Linked DNA regions of Caenorhabditis elegans. The protein of the gene in region 3 purifies or fractionates together with the protein of the main gene of each other region. This does not show direct contact. Each region holds a gene or a part of one and is shown on either strand. Other genes may lie near its edges. The genes, in order: snrp-200, rpl-15, eef-1G and eftu-2.

The links.
Region 1: the proteins of eef-1G (region 3) and snrp-200 fractionate together in Caenorhabditis elegans (co-fractionation; one large-scale study listed by BioGRID). This does not show direct contact.
Region 2: the proteins of eef-1G (region 3) and rpl-15 fractionate together in Caenorhabditis elegans (co-fractionation; one large-scale study listed by BioGRID). This does not show direct contact.
Region 4: the proteins of eef-1G (region 3) and eftu-2 fractionate together in Caenorhabditis elegans (co-fractionation; one large-scale study listed by BioGRID). This does not show direct contact.

Annotation. Positions count from the first base shown.
Region 1 is NC_003280.10:12,732,667-12,740,231, reverse strand, and holds the start of snrp-200 (U5 small nuclear ribonucleoprotein 200 kDa helicase), read left to right. Parts: upstream 1-3,321; 5' UTR 3,322-3,356; coding exon 3,357-3,795; intron 3,796-3,844; coding exon 3,845-4,667; intron 4,668-4,785; coding exon 4,786-5,923; intron 5,924-5,981; coding exon 5,982-6,389; intron 6,390-6,451; coding exon 6,452-7,565. Other genes in the region: pisy-1 (CDP-diacylglycerol--inositol 3-phosphatidyltransferase), read left to right, coding at 1,906-2,039, 2,292-2,393, 2,469-2,728, 2,781-2,947. UniProt on the Caenorhabditis elegans protein: Catalyzes the ATP-dependent unwinding of U4/U6 RNA duplices, an essential step in the assembly of a catalytically active spliceosome. Plays a role in pre-mRNA splicing.
Region 2 is NC_003282.8:652,127-657,947, forward strand, and holds rpl-15 (Large ribosomal subunit protein eL15), read right to left. Parts: upstream 2,451-5,821; 5' UTR 2,446-2,450; coding exon 2,274-2,445; intron 2,236-2,273; exon of another isoform or gene 2,103-2,235; intron 2,077-2,102; coding exon 1,940-2,076; intron 1,905-1,939; exon of another isoform or gene 1,776-1,904; intron 1,718-1,775; coding exon 1,412-1,717; 3' UTR 1,354-1,411; downstream 1-1,353. Other genes in the region: Putative bolA-like protein K11H12.1, read right to left, coding at 121-264, 1,048-1,164, 1,211-1,276; K11H12.8 (Growth hormone-inducible transmembrane protein), read left to right, coding at 3,271-3,405, 3,454-3,517, 3,571-3,821, 4,496-4,601, 5,016-5,243, 5,736-5,821.
Region 3 is NC_003283.11:10,962,562-10,969,910, reverse strand, and holds eef-1G (putative elongation factor 1-gamma), read right to left. Parts: upstream 4,193-7,349; 5' UTR 4,087-4,192; coding exon 4,078-4,086; intron 3,937-4,077; coding exon 3,814-3,936; coding exon of another isoform or gene 3,792-3,813; intron 3,747-3,791; coding exon 3,426-3,746; intron 3,382-3,425; coding exon 3,249-3,381; intron 3,214-3,248; exon of another isoform or gene 2,996-3,213; intron 2,923-2,995; coding exon 2,447-2,922; intron 2,422-2,446; exon of another isoform or gene 2,295-2,421; intron 2,256-2,294; coding exon 2,121-2,255; 3' UTR 1,989-2,120; downstream 1-1,988. Other genes in the region: dbd-16 (DB domain-containing protein), read left to right, coding at 331-462, 1,487-1,726, 1,767-1,940; ctf-4 (WDHD1/CFT4 second beta-propeller domain-containing protein), read left to right, coding at 4,372-4,455, 4,502-5,013, 5,064-5,297, 5,346-5,457, 5,503-5,686, 5,731-6,044, 6,089-7,349. UniProt on the Caenorhabditis elegans protein: Probably plays a role in anchoring the complex to other cellular components.
Region 4 is NC_003281.10:6,006,808-6,015,220, reverse strand, and holds eftu-2 (Tr-type G domain-containing protein), read right to left. Parts: upstream 5,662-8,413; 5' UTR 5,642-5,661; coding exon 5,014-5,641; intron 4,968-5,013; coding exon 4,593-4,967; intron 4,546-4,592; coding exon 3,492-4,545; intron 3,439-3,491; coding exon 2,868-3,438; intron 2,793-2,867; coding exon 2,496-2,792; 3' UTR 2,381-2,495; downstream 1-2,380. Other genes in the region: npp-10 (Nuclear pore complex protein Nup98), read left to right, coding at 1-735, 783-1,238, 1,289-1,448; gcna-1 (Germ cell nuclear acidic-1 protein), read left to right, coding at 6,238-6,296, 6,344-6,416, 6,463-6,726, 6,775-6,925, 6,974-7,253, 7,641-8,090, 8,346-8,413.

The DNA.
Region 1 (7,565 bases), on a different chromosome or scaffold from region 3:
GTTGATTTTTTTGTAACTGGAAAACAATAGTTCAAAATGCCGAAATGCCGAATGCCGAATGCCGGCATAATGCCGGTTTTTAGAGCGCGGCATATGCCGAAATGCCGATTTCAAAATTCAAGGCATATGCCGAAAATGCCGTTATGCCGAAAAGAAAAATGGACGGCAAACTGCATTATAAACATTTTTATCGATTTTTTCAATATTAAACAGATATTTAAAAAGCCAAAAAATGAGGGAAAATGTCCCGTTCCCGTGAAAATTTCAAAAACGGGACAACGGGAATTCCCGTTCTCGTGAAAACACCCCAAAAACGGGACAACGGGACAAACGGGACACGGGAATTGACACCCTTGCTGCACAGCGCGGACTGCAGACTTTTCAAATAATAGTTAATATAAAACTTGATTGTACAGATTATTAATAAATTCGATGTTTATAATTTTTTTTTAAACAACAGTGGATATGGGGGAAATTACTGAAACTAAAAGTACTGATTTTTAAAACGTTCAACTGGTTTTTCACAGATTTTTCTCTTTTTTTTTTGTGATATTTCTGCACATTGGGCAAATATGAGTATTTTAAATGGGTGTTAATTAATTAATCAAATATAATTTAAGTTAAACAAAAAAAACAAAAAACTATGCGCGTAAAACATAACGCATTGAGTTCATACTGCGTATTTTGTGAACTACAGTAGCCAGGAAAATTTGACCTAAATTAATAATGGCTTGTGAGCGCGCGCAAAAAAATTAGGCGCCAATTTTTGATTTTTTTTTTCGAGAATTATCTTGTTTTTGTCATCATTTTTGAATAATTTTCCGTTCGACGTGCCGCTTTTTGGGATTTTTTGTTGAAATTTTCACCAATTTTAACGCTTTTTCAGCCATTTTGTCGTTGATCGCCCCAGTTTCTTGTCTATTTTCAATTTGCTGTATTCGTTCCTTGCGTTCATATTTAGGCCATTTAGCTCATCTGGAGCCACCTAATGAGTTTAAAACTTCAAATTTTTGATTTTTCCGGGCGGAATTCCGGTAATTATTCACTTCGTAAAAGTTTTCTCGTTAAATTTGTCGAAATTTTAATTGAAATTTTTTTTTTCTTCGATTTTTCATGATTTGCTATCACATTTCTGCTTTTTATCAACCAATTTCAGCTTGTTTTGAGTTAATTCCTCACGAAATAGATTAATTTTTTAAAGGCGCATGCATTTTCCCACTGCCGATATCCCGTTGCGCACGAGTGTTTGCCTCTCGTGTACTTCTCTCGGACAATTGGCGGGACTTTCGAAATTCATTTTTTGAGGTTTTTCTATTGGATTTTTAGTGTTTTCCGGCAGTTTGTTGAATAATTTAGCTCAAAAATGTTCTAAATTGTGAGATTTATTCGTTTTTAAAGTATAAATTGTGTGACAAGGACCATTGCATCGCTGGGAAGAGCAATAGTTAACTATTTCGCTGGAATTCTAGTAATCGGACGATTCTGTGGACTTATTGAGAGGTTTTTGATATTTTCTTATTGAAGCGTGTTCCTATGCTGAATATTTAGCTGATTTTGCTGCAAAAACAAGTTTTTCGGCCATATGCAAACTGATTCTCGAAAAAAAATCCCAGTTCTCTTAATTTTTCCCATTAATTCTCCTCATTTACGCTTCCAACTCCTACATTTTTGCCTTAAAAGCTTTCCATCTTATTAGCTAGCCAAATGAAGCGAGAATAAACAATTTCTAGCTCTTCTCTCATCTCCAACCATCTGCGTCTCCGCTCTCTTCCCATTTTCGAAAATGTCTTGCTTTGGAGCAGATGGACCGTTGTCAAGGCATTTTTTATCGCTTTTTTTCGTTTTCCCGTGTTTTCAATCGATTTCTCGTTCTCATTTATTCAAAAACAATATTTTCAGCTTAAAATGGAACCGACAGCCGCCGAGAACAACAACAATGTGTGGCTATTCTACCCGAATCTCATCGGTTATGGACGCATAGTACTCGCCATTTTGGCCATGTACTACATGTCGTCAGCGCCATGGTGTGCAATGTTCTGGTGAGTTTTGGCGAGCTGGAAATCGATTTTTGCATCAAAAATTAGCTAATATCCATGTTTACTACTACTTTTCATCTCTTTTTCACTGAAATGTCGAGTATTTTTGCGATGCATGGTAAAGAAATCAAGGTGACCAGGTTTCTTTTCAATTTTCCCCCATAATTGAAGAGTTACAATGCCATCTGACAAGGTTTTTCAGAAGAAAAGTCCTGAAAATTAGATTTTCGTAATTAAAATTTCTCATAATTTCAGCTATGCACTCAGCGCCGGACTCGACGCGTTTGACGGATGGGCGGCACGGACCTACAATCAATCGAGCCGATTTGGAGCAATGCTCGATCAGCTCACCGATCGGTACGTTAAAATTTCTCAAATATGCTGGAAAATTCGAGAAAAAAATTGGATTCGGTAAAATTCTCATATTTTCAGCTGCGCCCTGCTGGCCTTGGTGATGGCGCTCTGCAAGTTCTACCCGGATCACTTGTTCCTGCTTCAACTGTCGGCCGTAATCGACATCGCATCTCACTGGCTTCACCTTCACGCCACTGATCTCTCCGGTGCCACGAGCCACAAGCAGTCTTCGAATTGGCTTCTGAACCTCTACTACACGGATCGATTGTTCCTCGGATTCATGTGCGGCGGAAATGAGGCTTTCTACATTTTGCTCTACATTCGCGCGTTCTGGGCTGGTAAATATTTGATTTATTTTTGCTATAATTTATTAATTCCTCTAATTTTCAGGACCACTGATCTTCAACTTCCACTTCATGTCGATCTTCCCACTCATCGCCTTCCCGATTGCCTTCGTCAAGTCCGCCATCTCCGTCGTCCATCTGTACACTGCCGCCGAGATGGTCGTTGCTCACGATGTGAAGCTCCGTGTTGAGGCTGCTCAGAAGGCCCAATGATCTCCGGATCTCCCCGAAGTCTCCAAGATTCTCCTCTGATTCCCCATGAGCTTTTGTATACACATTCCCCACTACTTAATTCACGAGCTTTACGCTTAGCTTTAGTCCTTTAGTGCTCTCGTCTCAGGAAAATGTTTCCGATTTCCATTTAATTCCAAATTTGAACATATTTCTCTGTAATTTTTTTCCCCGTAATTTTTTTTTTCGCAAATTCCCGATGTACTTACTCTGTAAAATAATATTTATTTTGTTTATTTTATTTTCCATTTATTATTCAATTCGAATTGGTTTTCAGCCAGCCGATTTTATCTATTTTCTCTCAATTTTTATTTCTTGTTTTGATTTTTTTAACCTTAATCCCACGATTTTTGCAGGATATTCGACTATCCCGAGTTGACTACAAACTACAATGGCCGACGAGCTAGCCCGAATCCAGCAGTATGAGTACCGGCAGAACTCCAACTTGGTTCTGTCGGTCGACTACAATCTGACGGATCGGCGTGGCAGAGAGGAGCCGACTGGCGAGGTGCTGCCGATCACGGATAAGGAGATGCGCAAAATGAAGATGGGTGACCGGGCGATCAAGGGAAAAGCGCCGGTGCAGGATCAGAAGAAGAAGAGAAAGAAGAAGGACGACGAGAAAGCACAACAGTTCGGCCGGAATGTCCTTGTCGACAATAATGAGCTCATGGGAGCCTACAAGCCCAGAACCCAGGAGACGAAGCAGACTTATGAAGTGATTTTGTCTTTCATTTTGGACGCACTTGGCGATGTTCCACGCGAGGTTCTGTGCGGAGCCGCTGACGAGGTGCTTCTCACGCTGAAAAACGACAAATTCCGAGATAAAGGTGAGGTGAAAATCGAAGATTTTCAATAAAATTTATATTTTTTTTTCAGAGAAGAAGAAAGAAGTGGAAGCTCTTCTGGGACCGCTCACCGACGATCGTATCGCAGTTCTCATCAACTTATCGAAGAAGATCAGCGATTTTTCGATCGAAGAGGAGAATAAGCCTGAAGGCGATGGAGACATCTACGAGAATGAGGGTGTAAATGTGCAGTTCGACTCGGATGAGGAAGAAGATGACGGTGGGATGGTTAATGAGATCAAAGGTGATAGTGAGGAGGAGAGTGAAGAGGAAGAAGGTGTGGATACAGATTACACGGCAACACTCAAAGGAGATGGTCATTTGACGGAAGATGAGCAAAAAGCACGAGGAATTCTTCATCCACGTGACATCGACGCTCATTGGATCCAAAGATCGCTCGCCAAGTACTTCAAAGATCCTCTGATCGCCCAACAGAAGCAAACGGAAGTCATCGGAATTCTCAAGAACGCCGCCGACGATCGTGACGCCGAGAATCAGCTTGTCCTGCTGTTAGGCTTCGATCAGTTCGAGTTCATCAAGTGCCTTCGCCAGAATCGTCTTATGATCCTCTACTGTACACTTTTGCGTCAGGCGAACGAGAAGGAGCGTCTCCAAATCGAAGATGATATGCGATCTCGTCCAGAGCTTCATCCGATTCTTGCACTTCTTCAGGAGACTGATGAGGGATCTGTTGTGCAGGTGGAAAAGTCGAAACGAGACGCGGAGAAGTCGAAGAAGGCCGCCACAGCAGCAAATGAAGCCATCAGTGCGGGACAGTGGCAGGCGGGCCGCAAGATGTTGGATCTAAACGATCTCACGTTCAGTCAAGGATCTCATTTGATGAGCAATAAAAGGTAAATACAATTTTATTTTAAAAGTACGATTTTCCATTAGAAAATTAAGGAAATTTGATTCATTATGCACTTTAAAAGTCCACATTCCCAAAAAACCCTAAAATTCTCAATTTTGCAGATGCGAGCTCCCCGACGGATCCTACCGCCGCCAGAAAAAGTCCTACGAAGAAATCCACGTACCAGCCCTCAAACCACGACCATTTGCTGAAGGAGAGAAGCTCGTCAGTGTCTCAGAGCTCCCGAAATGGGCCCAACCGGCTTTCGACGGCTACAAGTCGCTGAACAGGATCCAATCCCGACTCTGTGATTCAGCTCTTCGATCCAAAGAGCATCTCTTGCTCTGTGCTCCAACTGGAGCTGGAAAGACGAACGTGGCGCTGCTCACGATGCTCCAAGAAATCGGAAACCACTTGGCAGAGGATGGAAGTGTGAAGCTCGATGAGTTCAAGATTGTCTACATTGCTCCGATGAAGTCACTGGTTCAAGAGATGGTTGGAAGCTTCTCAAAACGTCTTGCTCCATTCGGAATCACTGTCGGCGAAATGACCGGAGATGCTCAAATGAGCAAAGAGCAGTTCATGGCGACACAAGTGATCGTTTGTACGCCGGAAAAGTATGATGTGGTGACGCGAAAAGGCGGAGAGAGAGCCTATAACCAGATGGTTCGGCTGTTGATCATTGATGAGATCCATCTGCTTCACGATGATCGTGGACCGGTGTTGGAGTCGATCGTCGTCAGAACGATTCGTCAAATGGAGCAGAATCACGATGAGTGCCGACTGGTCGGACTTTCAGCAACTCTTCCGAATTATCAAGATGTGGCGACGTTCTTGCGAGTGAAGCCTGAGCATTTGCACTTCTTTGATAACAGCTATCGTCCAGTTCCCCTCGAGCAACAATATATTGGAGTTACTGAGAAGAAGGCTTTGAAGAGGTTCCAGGCGATGAACGAAGTGGTGTACGACAAGATTATGGAGCACGCCGGAAAGAGCCAAGTCCTCGTTTTTGTGCATTCCCGAAAGGAAACTGCGAAAACCGCGAAAGCGATTCGTGACGCGTGCCTCGAGAAGGACACGCTGTCGGCGTTCATGCGTGAGGGCTCAGCGAGCACAGAAATCCTGAGAACCGAGGCCGAGCAGGCGAAGAATTTGGATTTGAAGGACCTCTTGCCGTATGGATTCGCTATTCATCACGCTGGAATGAACAGAGTTGATCGTACACTCGTCGAGGATTTGTTCGCTGATCGGCATATTCAGGTAGGGGAATCGAAAATTTCCCGAAAATATTTCAAATCTTCAAAATATTATTTTTCAGGTGCTCTTTTCGACTGCAACTCTCGCTTGGGGAGTCAATCTGCCGGCTCATACTGTAATCATCAAGGGAACTCAGATCTATAACCCGGAAAAAGGACGTTGGACAGAGCTCGGAGCACTCGACATCATGCAAATGCTCGGAAGAGCCGGACGTCCACAGTACGATGATCGCGGAGAGGGAATTCTCATCACAAATCACTCGGAGCTCCAGTATTATCTCTCGCTGATGAATCAACAGCTTCCTGTCGAGTCGCAGATGGTCTCACGGCTCACTGATATGCTCAACGCTGAGGTTGTGCTCGGCACTGTCAGTAGTGTGTCGGAGGCGACGAATTGGTTGGGTTACACTTTCCTTTTTGTGAGAATGTTGAAGAATCCGACGCTTTATGGAATTACACATGAGCAAGCGGTAGGTTAAGCTTGAAATTTTAGCATTTTTCATAGAAAACCCTAAAATTCTCCAATTTTCAGCGCGCCGATCCTCTTCTAGAACAACGTCGTGCCGATCTCATCCACACAGCTTGCGTGCTTCTGGACAAGGCCGGACTCATCAAATATGACAAGCGAAGCGGAATCATTCAGGCCACCGAGCTCGGGCGCATCGCTTCTCACTTCTACTGCACATACGAGTCGATGCAAACCTACAACAAGCTGCTGGTCGAGACGTGCTCGGATATCGATCTCTTCAGAATTTTCTCGATGAGCTCCGAATTCAAGTTGCTGTCGGTTCGCGATGAGGAGAAGCTGGAACTTCAGAAGATGGCAGAGCACGCGCCGATTCCGATCAAGGAGAACCTGGATGAAGCGTCGGCGAAGACGAATGTCCTTCTTCAAGCCTATATCTCACAGTTGAAGCTCGAAGGATTCGCGCTTCAGGCGGATATGGTCTTCGTGGCTCAGAGTGCCGGACGACTCTTCAGAGCTCTTTTCGAGATTGTGCTATGGAGAGGTTGGGCTGGGCTCGCTCAGAAGGTGCTCACTCTTTGCAAGATGGTTACACAACGGCAATGGGGATCGTTGAACCCGCTGCATCAGTTCAAGAAGATCCCGAGCGAGGTGGTTCGATCGATTGACAAGAAGAACTACTCGTTCGATAGACTGTATGACTTGGATCAACACCAGCTGGGAGATTTGATTAAGATGCCGAAGATGGGAAAGCCGCTCTTCAAGTTCATTCGCCAGTTTCCGAAGCTTGAGATGACTACTCTCATCCAGCCGATCACAAGAACCACCATGAGAATCGAGCTGACAATTACGCCAGACTTCAAGTGGGATGAGAAGGTGCACGGAAGCGCCGAAGGTTTCTGGATCTTCATTGAGGATACCGATGGCGAGAAGATCCTTCATCACGAGTTCTTCCTGCTCAAGCAAAAGTTCTGCTCGGATGAGCATGTTGTGAAGATGATTGTGCCGATGTTCGATCCGATGCCACCACTCTACTACGTTCGGATCGTGTCGGATCGATGGATCGGCGCGGAGACGGTGTTGCCAATCTCGTTCCGTCATTTGATTCTGCCTGAGAAGTACCCTCCACCGACAGAGTTGCTCGATCTGCAGCCGTTGCCAATTTCTGCAGTTACGAATA
Region 2 (5,821 bases), on a different chromosome or scaffold from region 3:
AACGATAACTTTGAAGATTTATTTCTCATTAAAAAAAAATAAATAAATACTTGTTTCTTTTTTATTCTTCTATATATTTTTCATACTTTGACATGAAAAAAAAATTCAAAAATGATCATGTTATTTTCCAAATCCACCACGGCACGTCGGACTGTCTTCTTGCTTCTGTCCGTCCCACTTGCTGGTTGGAATAGCGTCGATTCGAAGCGCGTGGACAGTCGTGGCAAGCTCCTTGGCAAGACACGTGTTCACAAGACGATGTCTCTGAAAATCAACATTTTTTTGGGTTAATACGGGCTTCCAAATTTTGTGAAAACCATAGAAATTCGTTTCAAAAATTGTGCCCGTAAATCGACACAAGAGCTACAGTGGGGTCATTTAAACAATTACTGTAGTTTTCGCTACGAGATATTTTGCACGTCAACAGAATTTTTTGTTCTTATAATAACCATAATTTGGGTCTCGTTAGGTATTGGGGCCGCAAACACGAAACTTCCAAATTTTTGAACTATTTTCGCCAATTTTAGCGAAAATTTGCGATTTTTGCTCCAAAAATGCGGTATCATCCGGCGGCCTCGAAACTAAATTTTCTGTTACATTGGAAAAAGAGTGCGTCTTTAAAAAAATACAGTAACTTCAAAATTTTATTTCTACCGAGTTTTTATCGATTTTTCATAGTTTTTCTCGCGAATTTATGTGTTTTTATTGTTATGGGTTTTTTTAAATAAATAAATAATTTTTATCGAAAAATTATGAAAAGTCGATGAAAATTGCGCAGAAACGAGTCCTTGAAATTACAGTACTCTTTAAAGGCGCACACCCGTTTGTATTTAACAAAACTTGTCGTGTCGAGACCAGATATCATACTTTTAGCCACGAAATCGACAAATCCATGTTTTTAAGAAGGAATAAATTGGCGATAATGTTGAAAAAGCAAATGTTTTAGCTGAAAAATTGGTAAAGCCTATGAAAAAGTGCCGTTCCACGGCCTTTAGCGAGTTTTTCCATGTGTTCGACTAATCCATGTATCGATCTTTTTCCACCAACCTCGATGACACGTTTCCCCTCGAACTCATCACTGACAACTTGCACTCGGAAGTGCTTCTCGGCTCCTTTTGGAACGTTGTGCAGGTGGCTCTCGCATTCCACTTCGAGATGTTTTGGCTAGAATTCAACAGTTTCCTTCCGACATATTTAGAGATCAGTTTACCTGGAACGCGGCGAACAGCTTCTCCTTGAGAAGACGTGCTACTGGGCCTTCGCTCAATGTGCTCATTACTCTTTTCATGAAGACTGTGATTTTAAAAACTATTTCTTTTTTAATGTGAAAAATACAAAGATAAAACAATTAGGTTTGATAACAACCATTTCATTTTCGGAACAAGCCCAAAACAAAATAAAATAACAAGATTTATCGCTTGCGGTGGAAAACTTTGGTGTTCTTTCTCTTCCAGTTCTTGGCTTGGGATCCTCCGCGGGTAGCAGAGAAACGCCATCCCTTTCCGAGTCCACGAGACTTGCGTCCAGCAGAGGTGAGTCCTCTTTGCTCACGGTGCTTGTGAACTGGCTTGGTGATCCATTGGGTGTCTGGGTTACGACGGATAGCCTTGTGGAATGGATCGATCAGGACAACCTCGTAGAACTTGTAGGTGGAGTCCTCAGCAACCCAGTAGGAGTTGAGAACACGGAGGGATCCAAGACGACGTCCAGCGCGGCCCTGAAATACAACGAATTAACTTTGAAAAGTAAATGCTAATATCTGAAAATTTTGTTTAAATTGTCACAATGTCATGAATCCAATACACCACAAGGTGTTCGGGGATTACACAATGTTTTTCTATAGCCATCAGTGGATTAAGTCAGTACTATTAAAAACAGTCTGCTTTGCCCAGACACTGAGGCAACAATTTCATCTAATCATTTAATTCGTAGTAATCACCTCAGCAACGGCTTGCTTAGACTTGGCGTTCTTGAGCTCGTTAACTCCATGGGTCTTTGGCTTTCCGTAGGTTTGTCCCTTGCAGACTGGACGCTTTCTGTTTCCTCTGCGGACACGGACGCGGTAGACAACGAATCCTGAAAAATGAAATTTAATCTCAATAAATTGTATCAATGATATGAAACTGGAAAGTTCTATATAACTCAACAGGGATTACTCAATGAATTTTATATAGCCATCAATGGATTAGGTTGCTCAAGCGGGTGCAGGGCACCTTGCCCAGACATTGTGGCAAGTAGCTTTTAAAATTTTATTCAAATCTTTACAATCTTACCTTGCTTGGCACGGTATCCGAGACGGCGAGCCTTCTCTGGTCTGGTTGGGCGTGGGACACGGTGGACGGCGCTCAACTGTCTGTAGTGCCAGGTACGAATACGGAGCAAGTAGCGAAGAGCATCTGACTGCTTCTTGCGCCAGATTTCCTGCATATACTTGTATGCACCCATGTTTTCTGAAAGAAAAAAGGTTAGAATAACGAGATTGAGGGGTTGAATAAATAAAATTGTTGAAAAAGAAAAGTGAATCGAAGAATGGAACATAGTTTTTTAAAATTCTGGCTGACAGAAAATCTATTTCATCAAAGTCCCAACATTTTGGGCGGAATTCTGCGTAAAAATAACAAACTACTGATTTTTTGCCAGTAAAAATTAAAATTTTAAATTAATTTAACAAAATTCATGAAAAACCTAGGAAAACTTCACTAAAATTGCTGAAAAATCCAAAAAAATCGTTTAGGCCAACAAAACTCGTGTGTGAAATGAGAAGACGCTCTCATACACTTCGCATACACTCGAAACACGCTCCACAATGCAAACACCGTAGTCCGGCGGCTGGCCGTGTGCCAAGCCTCGTCCGCCGTAAATCGACACGAATTGTTTGTGATTTTTAATATGTTTTTCCTTGTTTTACAGGTTTTTTCAGGTTTTTATCTGGTTTTTTCGTATTTTTAATTGATAAAACATTATATTTAATCGAAAAATATCTATAAAATCAGTAATATTCGGTTTCTATCGAATAAAAAAGTCATTTTTCTCCCTAAAATGTGGTTTTTATTTGTAGAACTTTGGAAATCCGGCATAAAGCTATAATAAATGGTTTATCCCTTATTTTAGGCTACGTTATTTTCGCTAGACATTCTAAAACATCTAGAACTTTCTAAATTTCATAACTCCTCGTTGCATCATTTTTTCCCACGTGACCTCGGTTGTTTTCATCACAAACAAACACAATTTCCACTTTTCTCGTCGTATTCTCATCATTTCAGTCAGAAAATGTTGTCTCGTCTCACGATGACCGTTCCAAAAGTGGCGACTTTCACCTCGGGAGTCCGATTTTTCGCCAACACCGCCGCAAAATCAGCTCGTTATGGAGGAGGGCAGTCCGGATTCGGTTCTCGAGTAAATCAAGTGAGTTTTTCAATAATTTTTGACGAGAAAACGATTTAAAGAGTTCAGGGATTCGGAGTTCGCACTGGACCAACGCTGAAGGAGCGACTTTTGGGACCAACTACTGGAAAACGTGAGGATTTTACTGGAATTTTCAATTATAAAAAGGCCTACATATATTTCCAGCATTCGTCTACGGAACCTATGCTCTCGCTGGAGCATCCGTCTTCGGAGTTGGAGCTCTCATGTACTACGGACTCGTCTCAAAAGAGCAGAGTATTCTCCAAAAAAGCGCAATTTGGCCATCATACGTCCGTGAAAGAATCAGCACAACGTATGCTTATTTGGCTGGAAGTCTCGCTTTAACTGCTGTCAGCGGAGTTGCAGCTTCCAGAAGCGCGGCGATTATGAGATTGACCGCTGGCGGAGGAATGATGGTAAGGGACGAAATATCCCCGAAGAAAAGCGAAATTCGTTGTGAAATCCCTTGAAAATCCCGGAAAATGGGCTTCGAAGTCGCTGGAAATGCCCGATTTCGTCAGAAAACCCGGGTTTTTGTGTGCTTACCGACTGAAAATTAACCAAAAAATCGATTAAAAAAGGCTTCAAAGCCGCTGGAAATGCCTGATTTTAACGTTTTCCCGTTTTTTTTTTTTGGGCTTATTCAGTTAGAAAACCGCATTTTTGAGTGAAAATTGCAAAAAAAGTTCGAAATTTCGTCATCTCATGACTGAAAATTGCGAGTTTCAGGACCAAAAAATCAATTTTTGGCTAATAAAAAGCTTGGAAAACGAGAAATTTTTTGCATTTTTATCTACTCATGACTGAGAAATGGAATTTTCAGGTCCAAAAAATCAATTTTTTAACGAAAAATTGAAATTTGTCGTAATAATCTCTTATTCTGTTGTTTTTGCAGCGATTTTACTGGTTTTTAGGTTCAAATTTGTGTGCATATCAATTAAAAACCCGGAAAATTAATGATTTTAACTAGTTTTATCCACTTTTCGAACAATTTGAACTTCCATAAAAGGTTGGAGGTCATTTTTAAAAATTTTAAAGCAATAAAAACTTTAAAAATTATCGGAAATTTAATAAAAATCAATTTTTTCAGTCACTCTTCGGAACAATGGCTGCAATGATCGCTTCGGGAATGCTCGCCAGATCAATTGACTACGAGAGCACCGTCGCCAAGCATCTCGCCTGGGCTCTTCACTGTGGTACGGCGGATTTTCAACGGAGAACTTGAAAAAAAAAATCAATTTTGTGATTTTTACAAACTAAAAAGGCCGAACTTCGATGAAAAATTGGTCGAATTCTGGCTAAAATCTCTGATTTTGTCAACTTTTCCGTGTTGCAGCGGGTGGAAATTTACTGTTGTAGGATTATTCTACTGTTTTGCATAAGTTTTGGCTCGGCTAGCTTTTAATGTACCTAAATCAACCAAATATATTGTAAGAAAAACTATATTTATATGCAAAAAGGACCGAAAAAACCGAATAAAATCAATTTCCAATAGCTGCGAGACGGAAAAATTGACAAAATTTGAGATTTTTTAAGCCGAAATTGGAAACTTTCCGAAATTTTGATATAATTATATATATAAAATTTCATCCAATTTCCTCTATATTCAGGTGTTCTCGGAGCCGTCTTCGCGCCGCTGTGCTTCATGGCCGGCCCAGTTCTCACTCGTGCGGCTTGGTACACGGCCGGAATCGTTGGAGGCCTCTCGGCCACCGCCATCACCGCTCCATCGGAGAAGTTTTTGATGATGTCCGGACCACTTGCCATGGGATTTGGCGTTGTTTTTGTCGCCAACATTGGAGCATTCTTCTTGCCACCTGGATCAGCTCTGGGAGCCAGTACGTAGTGAAATTTGGAGAAAAATGCGAAAATTCGGCTGAAAATATCGAATTTTGCTGCAAAATGTGCAAAAAAAATGGCATTTATGCCAGAAAAAACGTTTTTCTGATGAATTTCGCACTGAAAATGGCTGAAATCTGAAGTTTTCAGCTAAAATTCTCGTCGCTTTCGCGATTTTTGTAATAATCTAGGAAATTCTTCAGAAATTAGATTAAAATATCGCAAAAACAACAATTTTCTGCAGTTTTTGCTATGAAATTTCAGTTTTATAGAGAAAAATCGTAAAAATCTGAAACCGAAAAATTCCCACTTCTCCACGTGGAGTACACGACCATTGCGTAAATCTACACAACAAACCGGGTTTGAAATGCGATTTTTTCGATTTTTTAATGCAAAAAAAATCCAAAATTCTCTGAAATTCAGAAAAACCACACGAAAAAAGCGAAAAAAAATTGCAAAAGTGTGAAAAATTCTTCAAAAAATTATTTCAGGTCTCGCATCGATTGTCGTCTACGGTGGTCTCATCCTCTTCTCGGCCTTCCTTCTCTATGATACGCAGAGACTCGTCAAAAAGGCT
Region 3 (7,349 bases):
CATGAATACAGATGTAAAGCCGCAATTTTTTAATTTGGCAAATTACCAAAACCTGCGAAAAGAAGTGAGAGATCACCGGGTTTCTGAGTCTCGCAGCGATTGATTGTCATAACTTATACAATATGATGCAACTTTGAACAAACTTTACACTATGCTTGAAAATTGAAGTTTATTGTGTTTTAAATAACACACTGCACAAAGATAAAAGAAATATATAATGAAACTTTTTGGCAACAAAAAAAAGGTAAAGGTTGAAAAAACAAACAAAACCTGATCACTTCTTCGTTTCAGCAGCATGTAAGTGACAAAAACATATAATTAAAATTTCAGATTCAACCAATCGGATGCCCGTGTGGTATTGGTTTTATGTGTATGAGAGGTGGATGCGTTGCCCGAACAGCGGCTGGAACAAAAACATTTAAAGATGAATCATCAAGGCCTCCCGATTTGAAGCCGATTTCTGTATGTATACCATGTATTTTCAAAAAAAAAGTTTGACAGTATTATGGAAACACATAAATTCTGAGAATGCGTATTGCGCAACATATTTGACGCGTAAAATATCTCGTAGCGAAAGTTACAGTAATTATTTAAAAGACTACTGTAGCGCTTGTGTCGATTTACGGGCTCCGTTTTCAAAATGACGAAAAATCATTTAGGTATTTATTGATTGAACATTAAAATTTAGCAAAAAATTAGAAAATCATACGAAGAAACGAAGGAAAGTTGAAAATCGCTGTCAATATACGATATACATACGAAAAAAATCATTTTGAACATCGAGCCCGTAAATCAACACAAGCTCTACAGTAGTCTTTTAAATAATTACTGTAGTTTTCGCTACGAGATATTTTGTGCATCAAATATGTTGCGCAATACGCATTCCCAGAATTTTGTGTTCCCGTAAAATCATGTTACTTGTTTTTTACGTGTTTACGTTTTTACGTGTACAGTTCGTCCGCGATATTGATATCACACAGACGTCTGAAGATTAGAAACCTCCATATCTTACGCGCATAGGTCTCGACACGCGGACAACGAGTTACTGTAGCTCGGCTCGATTTATTGAACGATATTGCACAATTTTGTTTAGGAGAAACTTATTTATTGTAAAAATTTACTTAAAAAAATTAGTCAATCGATTGAAAGGAGTTACAGTAATTCGTTTTCCTCGTGGCGAGACCAATACGCGTAACAAACGGCGAGGATTCTCACCTTTCACGTGGTGTCAGGCTGTCTCATTGCGGTTTGATCTACAAAACATGCGGGATTTTTTCTCCCAGAAAAATGTGACGTCAGCACACACTTAACCATGCAAAATCGGTTGAAAAGTCTGCGTCTCTTCTCCCGCATTTCTTGAAGATCAAAGCGAAATGGGACTTTCTGACTCCACGTGACCTTTACGTGTCTACCTAATAATCATGGAAAAGTTAACTTATGAAAAAAGTTCCTGGAAATTTTAATTTCAATAATATCTAAATAACAGACACCGGATGAGCACTTTGCCACCTGCTGCTCACTTCTCGAAGTTGAATCATCTTGCACAGATTTATGCTCATATTCTACGTACTCATCAGAAGAAGTCAGTGCAGTGTTTCTTCAACAATCAGTGTGCCCAGTGACTGCAATTCAAAAGATTCATTTTTGTGCGGCACGAGGAACAAACCACACGGAATGCTGCTCCAAATCATTAGTTCCAATACACTGTCACTCTTTCTGCGATCAGGTTTGAGAGACATTTTACTGACACGCAATGATTTTTACAGAGTCAAGATAGTGATGTCAATAGCCTCTCAATCAACCATTTGCAATGTGTACAATATTTCAACGACATCAAATCTTGCTTTTTGGAACACGCAAATCAAGAATATTTCGAAGGACACATCGAGGACTATACGACGACCGAAAACGAAGAAACAAGCTTAGGAGCTAATTTTTAAATCTAAAATTATTTAGGAACACTTATAGACGAATAAATTCAATCTCAACTTGAAGAAGATATAATTTATTGAAGTGATACCGGGTCCTTTATAAACAATAGAAAACAATTTATTCTTTCCGACTCAGAGTAAACAACAGGATTAAATGGCAAATACACCGGGTTGTATGGAAACTCCAGTTTACTTGAAAATCTTTCCTTGGTTGAACTTCTTTCCTCCGAAGTCTCCCTCCCACATAAGATACTCGTTGACTTCCTTCTTGGTGGCATCGGACTTGGCGTCAAGCTTTGTCCAGGTGTACGATTCGTAATCAACCTGAAATATATTATTGTGAAAACTATCGAGAATTCATAAAATTGTTGCTTTCAGTTTAGAGGTAATTGCTCATTAAATAAACAACTCCAACGAGAAGAAGCACTTATATACGAAAAGTGTAACTCTGTATAAGTGTATCACGTATACAAATGACTACTCTTCGACATTCAAAATCGAGGAAATGGTCCTACCTGCCAGTCTGGGCTGAGTTCGAAGGCGAGCTTGTCACCCTTCCACACCCAGATTCCTGAGATGGTCGAATTGTTGTCGGTTCCGAAAAGAATCATGGAGGCGAAAGCATTCTTCTTCAACTTCTCCAGTCTTTGGTACATTCCATTGATAAGGTTACAGCTCATGAAGGCGAGAGTGAGATCTTCTGGGTATTTGTACTCGCACTTCCAGATGGACCAGTTGTCAGCATCGAAGTTCTCCCAGAAGTGTGGGATAGCCTTGGTAGCGGTGTCTTCGTTGGAATAAGATCTCTTGAAATTGTCAAGAACGAATGTTCCCTTTGGCATATCTTGGAATGGATCCTTGCTCTTCTCCTCCTTTGGTTCATCGTCCTCTGGCTGGGCAGCCGCAGCAGCTGGCTTGGCCTCTTTCTTTGGCTTCTCGGCCTTTGGAGCAGACTTGGCGACTTTAGCGCTGAGCTCAGTGAACTTGGCTTCTGTAAAATAAGAATAAAATTTAAACTGGGAATACAAAATCAGAAGTTTTTTTATAAAATTAGATTTCTTTTTAAATGTGTGGGACATAAACTAAGGTAACTTAGAATTGACTGCAGGACAACCCTGTAAACGACCAGTGCTAAATTTCCAACTCTCAGTCCCATGAAAAACGTTCCGAACAAAGCAAAAACAAAAACTGTTTCAAGCAAAGACGGTGTACATAAATCTTGATATTCCACCACTGTAACGCCTACTAATCGATTGACTAGTCTGCTGACTTCGCAGTGGAACAAAACAAATTCACACTAACAAAAAAGAAACTTACGGTTGAATTGAGCAACCGATGAGGCAAGGGAAACTTCTCCAAGAACCTCCTTAACAGCTGGCTGGTTAACAACGGTTCTGAACCAACGGGTGACGTTGACGATGGACTTTCTAGCGTTGGCATCAAGAACATACTGAAAATTAGGAGTGTATACATATAATCTGGGTCATAGTGTACTTGGAAAGCTGGGAGAAGATCAAGAGCAACGGAAACGTCGGCAAGAGAAAGACGTTCTCCAACCAAGTAGGTCTTTTTAACAAGAACACGATCGAGTACTTGGAGTTGTCCGTTGAGTTCATTCTTGTATTGTTCAACAGTCTTCTTGTCAAAGTTGGCTGCAGACACAGATGGAAGAACGTATCCGAGAACAGCTGGAAGAAGATAACCTTCTGCGAATTGAAGCCATTGGACAGTCTCGGCGTTAGCTGAGGTTCCAGTCAGGTGAAGTCCGATCGACTCAGCTCCGAAGAGAAGAGCATCTCCTTCAAATGCTGGGGTCTGAAATTCTGCACATTGATAGTTCACAGATCGTCAAATACTGACATCTAAATAAATTAAAACGTACAACTCCAAGTGGGAACTTGTCAGCTGGAGCAGCATCTCCGGCGAGGGTGACAGTCTTGTTGGCGAGCTTGGCAGCAATCAAAACCTTTTGGGTTCTGAAGTTGTCCTTGTTTCCATACAGTTTCTGCAAAATAAAAATCAATAATTGGTTAAATTTCGTCATTTCAAGGTTTGGCCTAATCATTTTTCAATGCAACGAACGGAAATCACGTTAACTATTCTTAACAGCACTGCAAATTTAATGAAATTAATTTTATAAACTTACTCCGGTCATGATGTCACCAACGAGTCGGAGAATCTAGTGAAGCGACGCTCAAAGAAGAGGCGCTTGAAAAGAGTGGTGTTCTTCAGAGGAAAAATACACTGAAAAGTCTGCGTATGTGCCCCTGGCAGAATGCCAGTACGCAAAACATAGGGGTTCTACGCAGTTCACTGGTCCATGGTTGCATTACACTTTTTTACCGCATTTCGGCGCCAAGAATCAGGTTTAAAATTTGCTCGCATTTTATTTATTTTTGATGAAAATAAATAATTTCACTCGTAATTCCATTGTTTTCAGATGAGCTTTACTAACGTTAAAAATTTGGAGAATATCGGCCTTCAAACTATCTGCATTGATGCTTCAGGAGAAGATACTGAAAATGTAGGATTTAAAACGATTTATAAACATATTTACCTGTTTTTTTCAGATTTACGTTTGTGATGCTGAACGAAATGTACTCAAGATCAATAAGAACGTGTTGCTGCAAGATGAAAAACCTGAAATAATCGAGATTCCCGATGCGACAACATCATCTATTGCTTGGTATGGAGAAAACATCTGTTTTGGTTACCGCAAGGTGGATTTCATTGTTGGATCCGAGCAGCAAATGGTGGGACGGGCGAAAAAGGGCAATTTCGAAGCAGGAGATATTATTGATCCTCTTGAATTCCAAATGGATGTCACAACGGTCGACGCAAACAGGGAAAATGTTATTGGAGGATCTAGCGATTATGCGGTTAAATGCACGAATATGAAAGATTTAGATGCAGAGCTGAAAACGAGAAGTCTTGAAGCTGAAGTTCTTTGTGTCAAACTGGATCCAAAAAATGAATTTGTGGCCGTTTCTACTGTGGATGGCAATGTGACTATTATAGACATTGATTCATTCTCGATTAAACACACACTGACCAAGGTTTTCCCAAGATTTGAAACAATTGAGTTAGTGTTTCATGTTATACTTCGGTTTTAAACAATGTCCTGTTTTTCAGTGTTTCACGACCTCGTATTCAACTCTCATGGTCAAAGGATGGTCAATGGCTGTTTGTTCCTTCAAAAGGATGTGTGAAATCGTACCGTCGAAATGGGTGGGAAGAATCTGGTGTATACCGTTTGAAAGATCATGCTTCTGTGGATTTTTCGGTTACTGCGCTTTCGCCGTGTGGGAAGTATCTTGCCTCCTCAACCATGGATAATCAAATTGCTGTTTGGAATAGTGATGAATTGTAAATTTAGGTAAATGTGTGAACTGATAAATAATACATTTTTTCCAGAGATATTGTGTGTTGTGAAAAATTCGTGAGAAATGCACCTGGTATCACTATCATCACTTCTATTGTTTTTTCTCCATTCTCCCCAAAAAAATTGATTGTCGCTGATTCAAATGTGAGTTTTTCCCTTTTCGAGCACTTTCAAGTAACAATATTTTAGAGAGGAATCTGTTTGTTTAATGTCTTCAAAGATGATTCATCTAACGAGAAGCCTGTTTCAAACAAAACTGAAGATGTTGCAGTTGATAGTGATGATGACGACTCAATCCTTTTGAATAGAACTTCACTCAAAAAAGATAGTTTATTCAATGAAGAAGCCATTGAAGAAGATGAAGATACCCGAAGTGAGGGATTGTAAATATAATTTCTCTTGATGTTTTAATTTTAGTGTCTTCCGATCTTGGAGCTATCAAACGACAATTCAATTATGGGAACCAAGATCTTGGAGGGCTTGAAGAATTCGGTTTTAAACTCGGTGAACCTGAGGAAATGCGACCGATGAGCTCGGACAGAAATTTGAATGATCCTCTCCCGCAAGTCTATTCTGATCCACCTGCTCCCCGAAAAGTTCTTATTCCTGAACGATTTGTATCTAACAGCTCTCCAATGGATCTCGACGCAACACAAAGGTTTCTGAAGTATAATCGATTCGGAATTATTCGCAGCTACGTTAACGAGGCAAATAAAGTTTCAACGATAGATGTAAGTTGTATAAGCTTGCTTCACAACAAGCGTTTTTTTTTCAGATCGAGTTTCACAATAAAAGCATCCACGGTGATATTCATATTGACAACTTTGAAATCAACTACGAACTCGCGGATATTTCGTTGAAGGTTGTTGCACTGGCAAGTGTTGAGAGCCGGAAAAAAGAGAAAGAACTTGACAAAGCAAACGACGACATTGAAGATCTTGAAACTGATGAACCTGCTAAAACAGAAAAGAAAGGAACTAGTCTTCTACATGTAATTCCAATTCAAGCATTCGACAGTCAGCGGTGGTCGATGGTTCTTCCTCGTGGAGACGGGTGTATTGATGTGCTTTGCTCAAATACTCAAGTCGTTGTGCTCACGAAAAAACGAAACATTCGAGTTTTCACTATTGGAGGAATTCAACGACAAATATTCACACATTTCGCACCAATTCTCACAGCTGCTTGCTTTGAAGACCGACTTGCAATCGCTTCGGTGTGTGGATCGGAATTTTATGAACAGAAAAAGACACCTCAATGGAGATTCGAAGTTGTAGAATATACTTTAAATCCAAAATCATGGTATCGAGAAAACAGACATCATGGTTCAACTGGAGCAGTTTCCCGAATTGATGTGCCTATTGAGACTGGAGAGCAATTAGACTGGATCGCTTATTCAAATCAAGGAAAACTTGCCGTGATGGATTCAGCATACACTGTACATGTTCTATCCGCTCCAGGTCTGTGGATTCCTATTTTCCAAGGCTCTTCTGCTCTGAGAGCACCTTCGGACGCAATTTTCCCGATTGGTCTCACAGTGAAAGAATTTCGATACATCTATTGTCGCGGATCCCGATCTCCCCTTGTAAATGGAATCAATGCACCGACTACTGTAGAATTCAAAGTACCATTCTGTCAACCTGAAAGCCATCGAACTGAAATGGAACATGAAATGTTCCTCAAAGAGCTATCGTTAGCTGATGCAATACTGGAACGTAATGGTGACAGTCATGTTGAAGAGGCAAAGACTTTAACCAAAACTATTGTAAAACTGTTTGCCTGGCTTACAAAAACCAATTCTGATGGTCAAGCTGCTGAAGTTGCTGCTCTAGTGTCTGGAGGAACATCTGCATCCGCTAAAGCTATTCAGAGCTTGTGTAATTACGCCAGTAAATGCAAAAAAGTGGCTTTGGCTGAGAAGGTTGCTGAAATTGGACGTCGACTGACAGAAGATGATGATGATCGTAGCTGCAATGACACTGAAATTTGGCCAACAAAGCGGATTGCATTAGCAGCAAGAAAAGCACAGAAGGCTCCTA
Region 4 (8,413 bases), on a different chromosome or scaffold from region 3:
AATTGGAGAATGGCTTAGAACAGAAGCAGTGAAGTCTGTTCCAGACGATAGAAGTGCGGATACATCTTCAAATGGTGTTTGGAATCAACTCTGTCTTGGAGACATCGATAAAGCTTTTCAAATTGCGATTGATAATAATCAGCCACAGCTTGCTACGATGCTTCAGACTTCTGCTGTGTGCCCAGAAGCTACTGTTCATTGCTTTAAAGCACAACTTGACAACTGGAAGAAATGCGAAACTCTTCATTTGATTCCGAAGGAAACTCTCAAATGCTATGTTCTGATGTCAGGACTATCACACTACGAATGGGATCAAGACGGAAAGAATCATTCGATCAACTGTCTTGATGGACTCAATTGGATTCAAGCACTCGGTTTGCATGTCTGGTATCTTCGTGCATGGACTGGTCTAGAAGAATCTTACGATGCTTATCAGAAAGATGTCAATGCTGGCCGTGCCGCTTCTAATCGTGGAGATCTGCCCGGAGAACTCATCAAATTGGCATGTGAATCACAGCACTCAGTGGAAGTTGTACTTGACTGTGCAGCTGGAGAAAATCCCAACGATTATTTCCTTCAATGGCACGTATGGAGCTTGCTCTATTCGGTTGGATACCGTACAATGTCAAAGACTTCGGAAACAAGACTTCACAGAAACTATTCATCTCAATTGGAAGCATCAAGTCTCTCAAAATATGCATTGTTTGTTTTGCAGCACATTGATGATGATGAAGAGTGAGTTGAATTTTAGAATCTTTCAATTTATAAATATATTTATCCAGAAGATCAACAGCAGTTCGTTCCCTCCTCGACCGTATTGCTCGTTTCACCGACAATGATATGTTTGATTCTATTTCCGAACAGTTCGATATTCCTTCGGAATGGATTGCTGATGCTCAATTCTCAATTGCAAAGTCAGTCGATGATTCTACCCAACTTTTCGAATTGGCTGTGGCTGCAAAGAACTATCTGGAAATTTGTCGCTTATTTGTGGATGATATTGCACCAACTGCAGTTGTAGCTGGAGATCATGACGCTCTCAAAGCAGCATGCGCGATGGTTCGTCCTTTCGAAAATCAGATTCCCGAGTGGGGTGCGACTGGAATGGTCTACACTGATTATTGCCGATTGATCAATTTGATCGAAAATGATGCGGAAGAAGAACTCTTACAGGACGTGCTTGAAAGTCTGGAAACTCGTCTACATGCTCCTACAATCAGCAAGAACAGTCTTCAAAAGTAAGCTATTGGGACATAAGTTTTTTTTAAAACTATTTATATAATTTCAGGCTCTCTCTTCAAACAATTGGACGTGTTTTGTTCGAGTACCGTGCTGATAAGAATACACTTCCAGAGTGGACAAAGCTTCTCGGACATCGGCAAATGTTTAAGATCTTCCGTGATCGTTCGTCTTGGGGAATCGAAAGATTCACAATTGAATTTGACTAGACTAGCCACTTTTTAATTTATTCATTTTTCACCTGATTCTAATTTTATTTTTTTTATTTACATTTTCCTGCCCTCTCCGTCTGTCTTCCTCGTATATCATCATTTCCCGAATCGTCTTTTTATTACTATGAATATGAACTTTTTGTAGGATGTTATTACTGTTGTGTTCTATTCACATGAGAAAACTAGTACAGAAATTTAGAAATCAGCAAAACGATAAATTGAGTACTCGAATTTAATTTAAAATTCAATTTCCGACCACGCGATGATGTTAATCTAGTACATCTTGATAAAAGTTGCTAAATAAATGGAAAGTTTTCTTGAATAATTCAGTCTGGCGGATTTAGCCAGTAGGAATGATCGTTTCTTAATTGGAGTGGTTCGCTTCGTTTTACGAGGTAGAGCAATTCGGGAGGCCCCACGAAAAGGGGAGCAGAACGAAAAGGGGATCTGCAAAAAGGGGATCTGCGAAAAGGGGAGATACGAAAAGGGGAGCAACGAAAAGGGGATCTGGCACTGTGCCAAACGCTATTTTCCTCGAAGAAAACGATACAACGATGCTCCGATGTTACGCGTCGCGTGTTGTTAAGCGTATCTTCTAGAAGAAAATTTCAAAAATCAACGTGCGCTGCGTGAGAAAAATTGCGTTTTGTGCGTTTGGCACAGTGCCAGCTCCCCTTTTCGTTGCTCCCCTTTTCGCAGATCCCCTTTTTGCAGATCCCCTTTTCGTTCTGCTCCCCTTTTCGTGGGGCCTCCAATTCGGTTATAGCTTATGCTTAGACTTAAAATTAAGCGTAGGCTTATGTTGATCTTCAGTTTTTTTTTTTTCAAAAAAGTTGTCCAAGAGTAATACCTTCAACGGACATTCAGCTTGTTTGACGAAACTAAGAGAATTCAATTTTGGTCCCTGCTCTGAATATCATTTGATAGATAGATAAACAAGAATTTTCATTTTACTATTGTGATCAAACAACTCAATGAAACGGGAAAGAACACTGAAAGATAAAAAGTGTGAAACAATGAGAAAATAAGTTAGGAAATCGCAATTTAGAATCCAGTATAATCTTGCTGCTTTGCAAGTTCGAGAAGCATCGGATCATCGAAGAACTTGTTAACGGAGACATCTTCAGACAAACCCTTGCGTCTTCTGGTCTTGATCATGAACTCTCTGGCGAGATGTGGAGTTGGCTGGACGTCGAGAGTCTTGATAACAATGGATTTATCGAGTGGATCTCCTGGTACGAGTTGCCAATGATGGAAAGCAGACATACAGAATGCTTGTCCCTGTGTGTGAATTCGAAGATCAGTTTCGAATCCGAACGAGTCCATTACTGGAATGTACGCCTGAAAATCATAATTTTAGAATATCATAAAACTATTTTAATGTGTGTTCTCTTTTAACATTATATTTAAACTCACGCTGATAGTGTACATAGGTGATCCTGGCATTGGTGCATCAGTGGTGACGTGACCACGTCGTTTAGCTAACACTGTATATACAGCAGCTACACAATCAGCTGGTGCAACAACTTCCACTGTATAGTATGGCTCCATTAATCTTGGCGTGGCCATAAGGAATGCAGAATAGGCACATCGGCGTGCAGTTGGGATCATCTGACCTCCACCTCGATAAAGTGGTTCTGTGGCGATTGCGGCATCGAGAAGTTTGAACTTCACTTGACGAATTGGTTCCTCACACAATGGGCCTTCTCTGGTTGCCCATTGGAATCCTTGAACAAGAGATTCTCTGACAGTTGATAGCAAGTGTTTGTCAACTTCCGATGGCAATGTGTCATCTAGAAGAATGTTGGGTCCTGTAGTATCAGGGCCAAATGCCCAAATTGAACGAGCTGCCAAAAGATCCCAGTTGTACTTGGTCTGGAAGAACTCTCCAAGACGCCGTCTATTCCATCCGATTTGAACAACTTCATTTTCGATGTCCTCATCCAACTGTTTTTCTAGAGGTTCAGCCATCATTGTGATTTTATTTCTGAAAAAATTGATTAAAAATTATTGTTTTGAAAAAATTGAATGAAAACCCACTTTTTGTTGGGAGTCTCTGCAAAACATTTCAGCGTACTCGTTTCGATGACAGTCTCGTTGAATGTGACAACTGGATCAGCAACTTTGATATCAATCTCTGAGAACACCTTTCGCATGTCGTGCATCACACAGTCCATATAAAATTCTCCAGTTCCGAGCAACACGTGCTCTCCGGATTCTTCAACTCTAGTCGTCAGCAACGGATATGACTTGTTGACTTTTCTCAAGCCATCCAACATTTTCGGGAGTTCGGATGGATTAATCGGCTCTACGGCAAGTTTCACGCAACTGCGAGTGTTGAATTTGAGAGGACGGAAAATGTAGACATCTTCCTCGTATCCCAACTCAGCAATGGTTGCAGTTTTAACAATTGGCTGATCAATTCCTTCAATAAGTACCCAGCAACCTGCAGGAACACGAGAAACTTCAATCTGATAACTGGCAACACGCACAAATAGTCTTCCAACTGTCATTCTTCGGCAATCTTCTTCATCTTGAATACTGTAGTTCTCTCCAAGTACACGGACGTCTGTATTTGCTTCCAATGTTCCGCTCATAACACGTCCAAATACATGGAACTGAGTTGCATCATCTACGGGATAATTCTTTGTTGTATGAACCATCAATGGTCCTTCAGCATTACATTTCTGCATTTCTTGAGCCAATTGGGAATCAGCTGGTCCAAGATATGTCTGCTCGATTTTAGTTTTCGCATTTTCAAGTGGTGATTTGATATTTTGAACCACCAAATCAACAAATGCACTGAAATCTCCAAAGAAGCGTTTACAGATGAGAGCAATCAATGGACGGACATTCATTTTCTGTTCTTCTTTTGACAAACGAATTCCCAACTCAGCCATCACATCAGGAAGGCAAGTATCGACATCTCCGACGACTTGCGAAAAGATCTTGTACATTGGCTCGAGAATGAACTGCACAAATGTACGTGGAGCATCATGGGACGGCGACTTCTTTACGAATTTGCGAGTTTTCTTCTCGAAGTAAATATCTCCCCAGAGACGGCGAGCAAACTCCTTTGAGTTGAAGGAGTCACCTGGAAAATAAAAATCGTGCAAGACATTAATTTCGTAAGCTTCTTACCATGTTGTTTCGCATAGATATTCGAAAAAGACAATAGAGAAAAGCAGACATTGTATCGTCCCGATGAAAAAATAACGTTGCCGTTAAGTGGAGAGAGTACTGGAACGTCTTCTTCGGCAAAAGTGCTCAATATATTATTGACTTGATCAATGATAAGACGGAGTTTGAAGTAAGCATCTGCTGGTGGAAGCTTCAACTCAAGAAGCAAGCGGTCGATCTTCGAAATGCACAATGTTACTGCAAGCCTCTCTTGAATCGCGTGGCGAATTGCTCGTTCAGTGTTCATCATAACACCTTCATGAGCATCAACCATCACAACAACTCCATCAGCAAGACGGTATGAAGCAGTCATTTCGTCCGAAAAGTTCACGTGACCTAAAATAATATATTTTGTACGAATGAACCACTATAGTTTAGGTACCTGGAGTATCAATTATATTGAGCAAATAGCTTTTGCTTCGACTATCCTGAGCCACAATGCTCACTGGCTGAGATTTAATCGAGCATCCTCTCTGCTTCTCAATGAACAAGATATCAGTAAATCGAGCATCTGCGTCTTCAGCTCTGTAGAACTCTGGATGAGTTTGTTCCATAAGACAATCCAAGAAAGTCGTCTTTCCGTGATGAAGATGACCAGCGATTGCAACATTTCTCATGATATGAGGGCAGTCCATTAAATCAGCTAAATATTCTTTCTTGTAGACAGTTTCCGGGAGAAAACGCTCAGCGGCTTGAAACTTCTTCTTGGATACTGGTTTGACAATTGGTTCAGTGAGTGGCTGAGCGTCTTCCTCTTGGACCAAGGTTTCTACACCTTCCCCGTATACTTCGAGAGCTGTAGCATAGTACTTTTTATCTTCATGAAGAACAACTTGATTCTGGGGAATTTCTTCTGCGTCATCTTCTTCCATTCTGTCTGGTTCATCATCCTCATCCACATCGCTACGATCTTCATCATCACCATTGTCATCAATATCTCCGGCATCATCGTCAGAGTCTAGCTCTGGACCGATATAGTTACCAAACTCATCGTAGAGATCCGAATCCATCGCTCGAGACGTTCAGTTCTGAATAATTAATTCGGTTATGAAAGACTTTCAAAGTAAAAAAGAAGAAATATACAGAGAAGTGAGTATTTGCCTAAAACAAAGAGTCCCAATGAGAATATAGAGCAAATATAAGAGCCAAGATTCAAAAGCAAAAAATACAAATCAAGAAGTAACTATGAACACACATTTTGCGCTTGGAAATATGCTAAAATGTGGTTTAAGATATTTTTTCAGCTTAAGAATTCGTTTTCGAAAATCGCTCCCCGACGTTTGCAGTGGAGCGCAGTTGTGGTACTTTCTACAGTAATCCACATTTCCAGAACAGCTCAATTATTCTTGGAAAATCGGTCAATTCTTGCAAATGTTTTTACGAAAAATTGAAAAATAATTAAAATATCATTTTTCTACTCAAAAAAAACGACTTGCTCGAGCAAGTCGAGCAAGTCGCGCTCCAAATAAACCTTGTTCAAAGTTTTGCTCGTCATTTCTGGCAACAAATACGCAATTGCACCAACGGCGCTTAATTTGCCGCCAATCAAAAATTTCAAAGATTAAAATTATTTTTCTCGTATTCTGCAAATCTTCTGTATTCCTCAATGCCTACACCATTTCGAGATCTTCATAACAAAAGTAATGCTTCAGCGTCATCGTACGAGTAAGTTTTTTGGAAGGATTTTAAGATTGTAGGAACATTTTTTGCAGAACAGCATGGAGTTCCAGCTTCAGCAGTCGAAGATCAACTAATAATGATAGCAAATCCAACTTAAAAGAAATTGCAAGCAGTAAAATTCATATATGATGAGCTAATTCTAAAATTTCAGAAAGATGAGCCAATATCAAATCTCGACGAAAGCATTTCAATTCTAGAAAATAATATATCCATGATGTCAGTTAGCTCTCCAACACCAGCCTATAGAACGCCTGCAAGAGTCATTGCAAGAGAAGCTCCAATGACTCCTGGTGATAGATTACTTCAGAAAATTGAAAAAGAAGATGAGAGAGATATGCTTCGACAGTTATATCCGGAAATGTTTGATTCCAACCAGAAACCACGTCAGAAACCAAAAGAAGTCAAAAAAGCATTGGTAATGTTCATATTTGAAATCTGAATATTTTAAAATTCAAAAGTTCAGAAAGTGGAGTCATTGTCAGATTATGAGAATGATGACAAGGAAAATGTTCCTCCGTGTGGAAAACCTTCGAAGGAAAAAGAAGAAAAGAAACAACGAACAAAGAAAATAGTTATTTCATCCGATTCAGAAGATGATGGAAACTTTGAAAACTGTAAACGATGCTCCAAAAAATATTCCGTTTTAATTTTAATTTTTTTAGATCTCAAAACTCTCCGAGAAAAGCCAACGGAGCCAGCTAAACCAGAGAGAAAAATTCCAGTTAAAAAAGATTTTGTAGTTGATGATGATTATATAAGCGAAGAAAGTTCAGAAGAAGAATCTGAAGAAGAGGAAGAAGATGTCGACGATGAAGAATATCGAGAATCAAGTCCAGAAGTTGAAGCGAAGATTAGCTATTCTGATAGAAAACAGAAGAAGCGACCAACTGACGAAGAAGAATGGTTTCTTCTGTCATTGAGTGAGAAGTTCTCAGGACCAATGTAAGATAATTTTTGAGAAATCGAAAATCGAAAATGCTCATTTTCCAATATTTCAATTTCTCTAAATAACGTCAAATTGTGGCGAATTTCCTTTTTTTTTGAAAAAAAATCATGCTTTTTTATCATCAAGATTAACCAACTTAAATCGATTAAAAATGAATTTTTTGTTTTCTAAACATTTTTTCCCATTTCAGTTTTCCGGAAAAGCTAAAAAATTTCCTTTAACGATATAAGATTTTTAGATTTTAGATTTTTCTGAAAAAAAAATCGAACAAATTTTTAGGACACCCTTGCTCTCGATAATTTTCCTACAAGTTTTGCAGAATAAAAATTAATTTTATAAAAAATATAATATAGAGATTAGTTGCTTAAAAAATATTTTTCCAGACACGAAGATGCCAAGGTGTATATCAAGGAAACATCTCTACGTTATAAAAAGCATCGCGAATCCCTTCTCACACGTCTTCAAGACATCCTGGTTCGCCGAATCTTTTCAGCAATTCCATCGGAAAAGCTGAAAGTCATATGGAACGCACGCCTTCGAAAATCAGCTGGCCAATGCAGAAATCATTCAAATGGAAACAGCACTGTCGAAATGTCACCAGTAGTATGTACAACTGCTGAACGAGTACGAGATACACTGATCCATGAACTGTGTCATGCAGCAACATGGGTGGTCGACAGGCTTCATAAAGAAGGTCATGGCCCAGGATGGAAGAGATGGGGAGCTCGATGCTCTTCGGTGTTCAAGTCACTTCCATTTATTGAAAGATGTCATAGTTATGAGATTGAGGCAAAGTTCTTCTATGTTTGTGAGAAAGATGGATGTGATGTAGAGTAAGTTTTTTAATTTATCTAGATATATCTGATAATTCATTAAAAAATAATTTTCGAAAATAATACGTCCAAAAAATAATATAATTTAAAATTTACCTTATTTTTCGGGATTTTGAACTGTCACAAAAATTTATTAATAGTCACAGTCTTATCGACTAGAATTTATAGGAGAGTCTTATAGGGAAGCAAAACACCAGAACCGTCAATCTGATAAATTTCCAATTTCCAATACATAAAAATATAATTTTTCTCCAGAATAAAGCGTCAATCGAAATCTCTCGACACCTCACGAAAAGCGTGCGGAAGATGTTTTGGCAGATTCA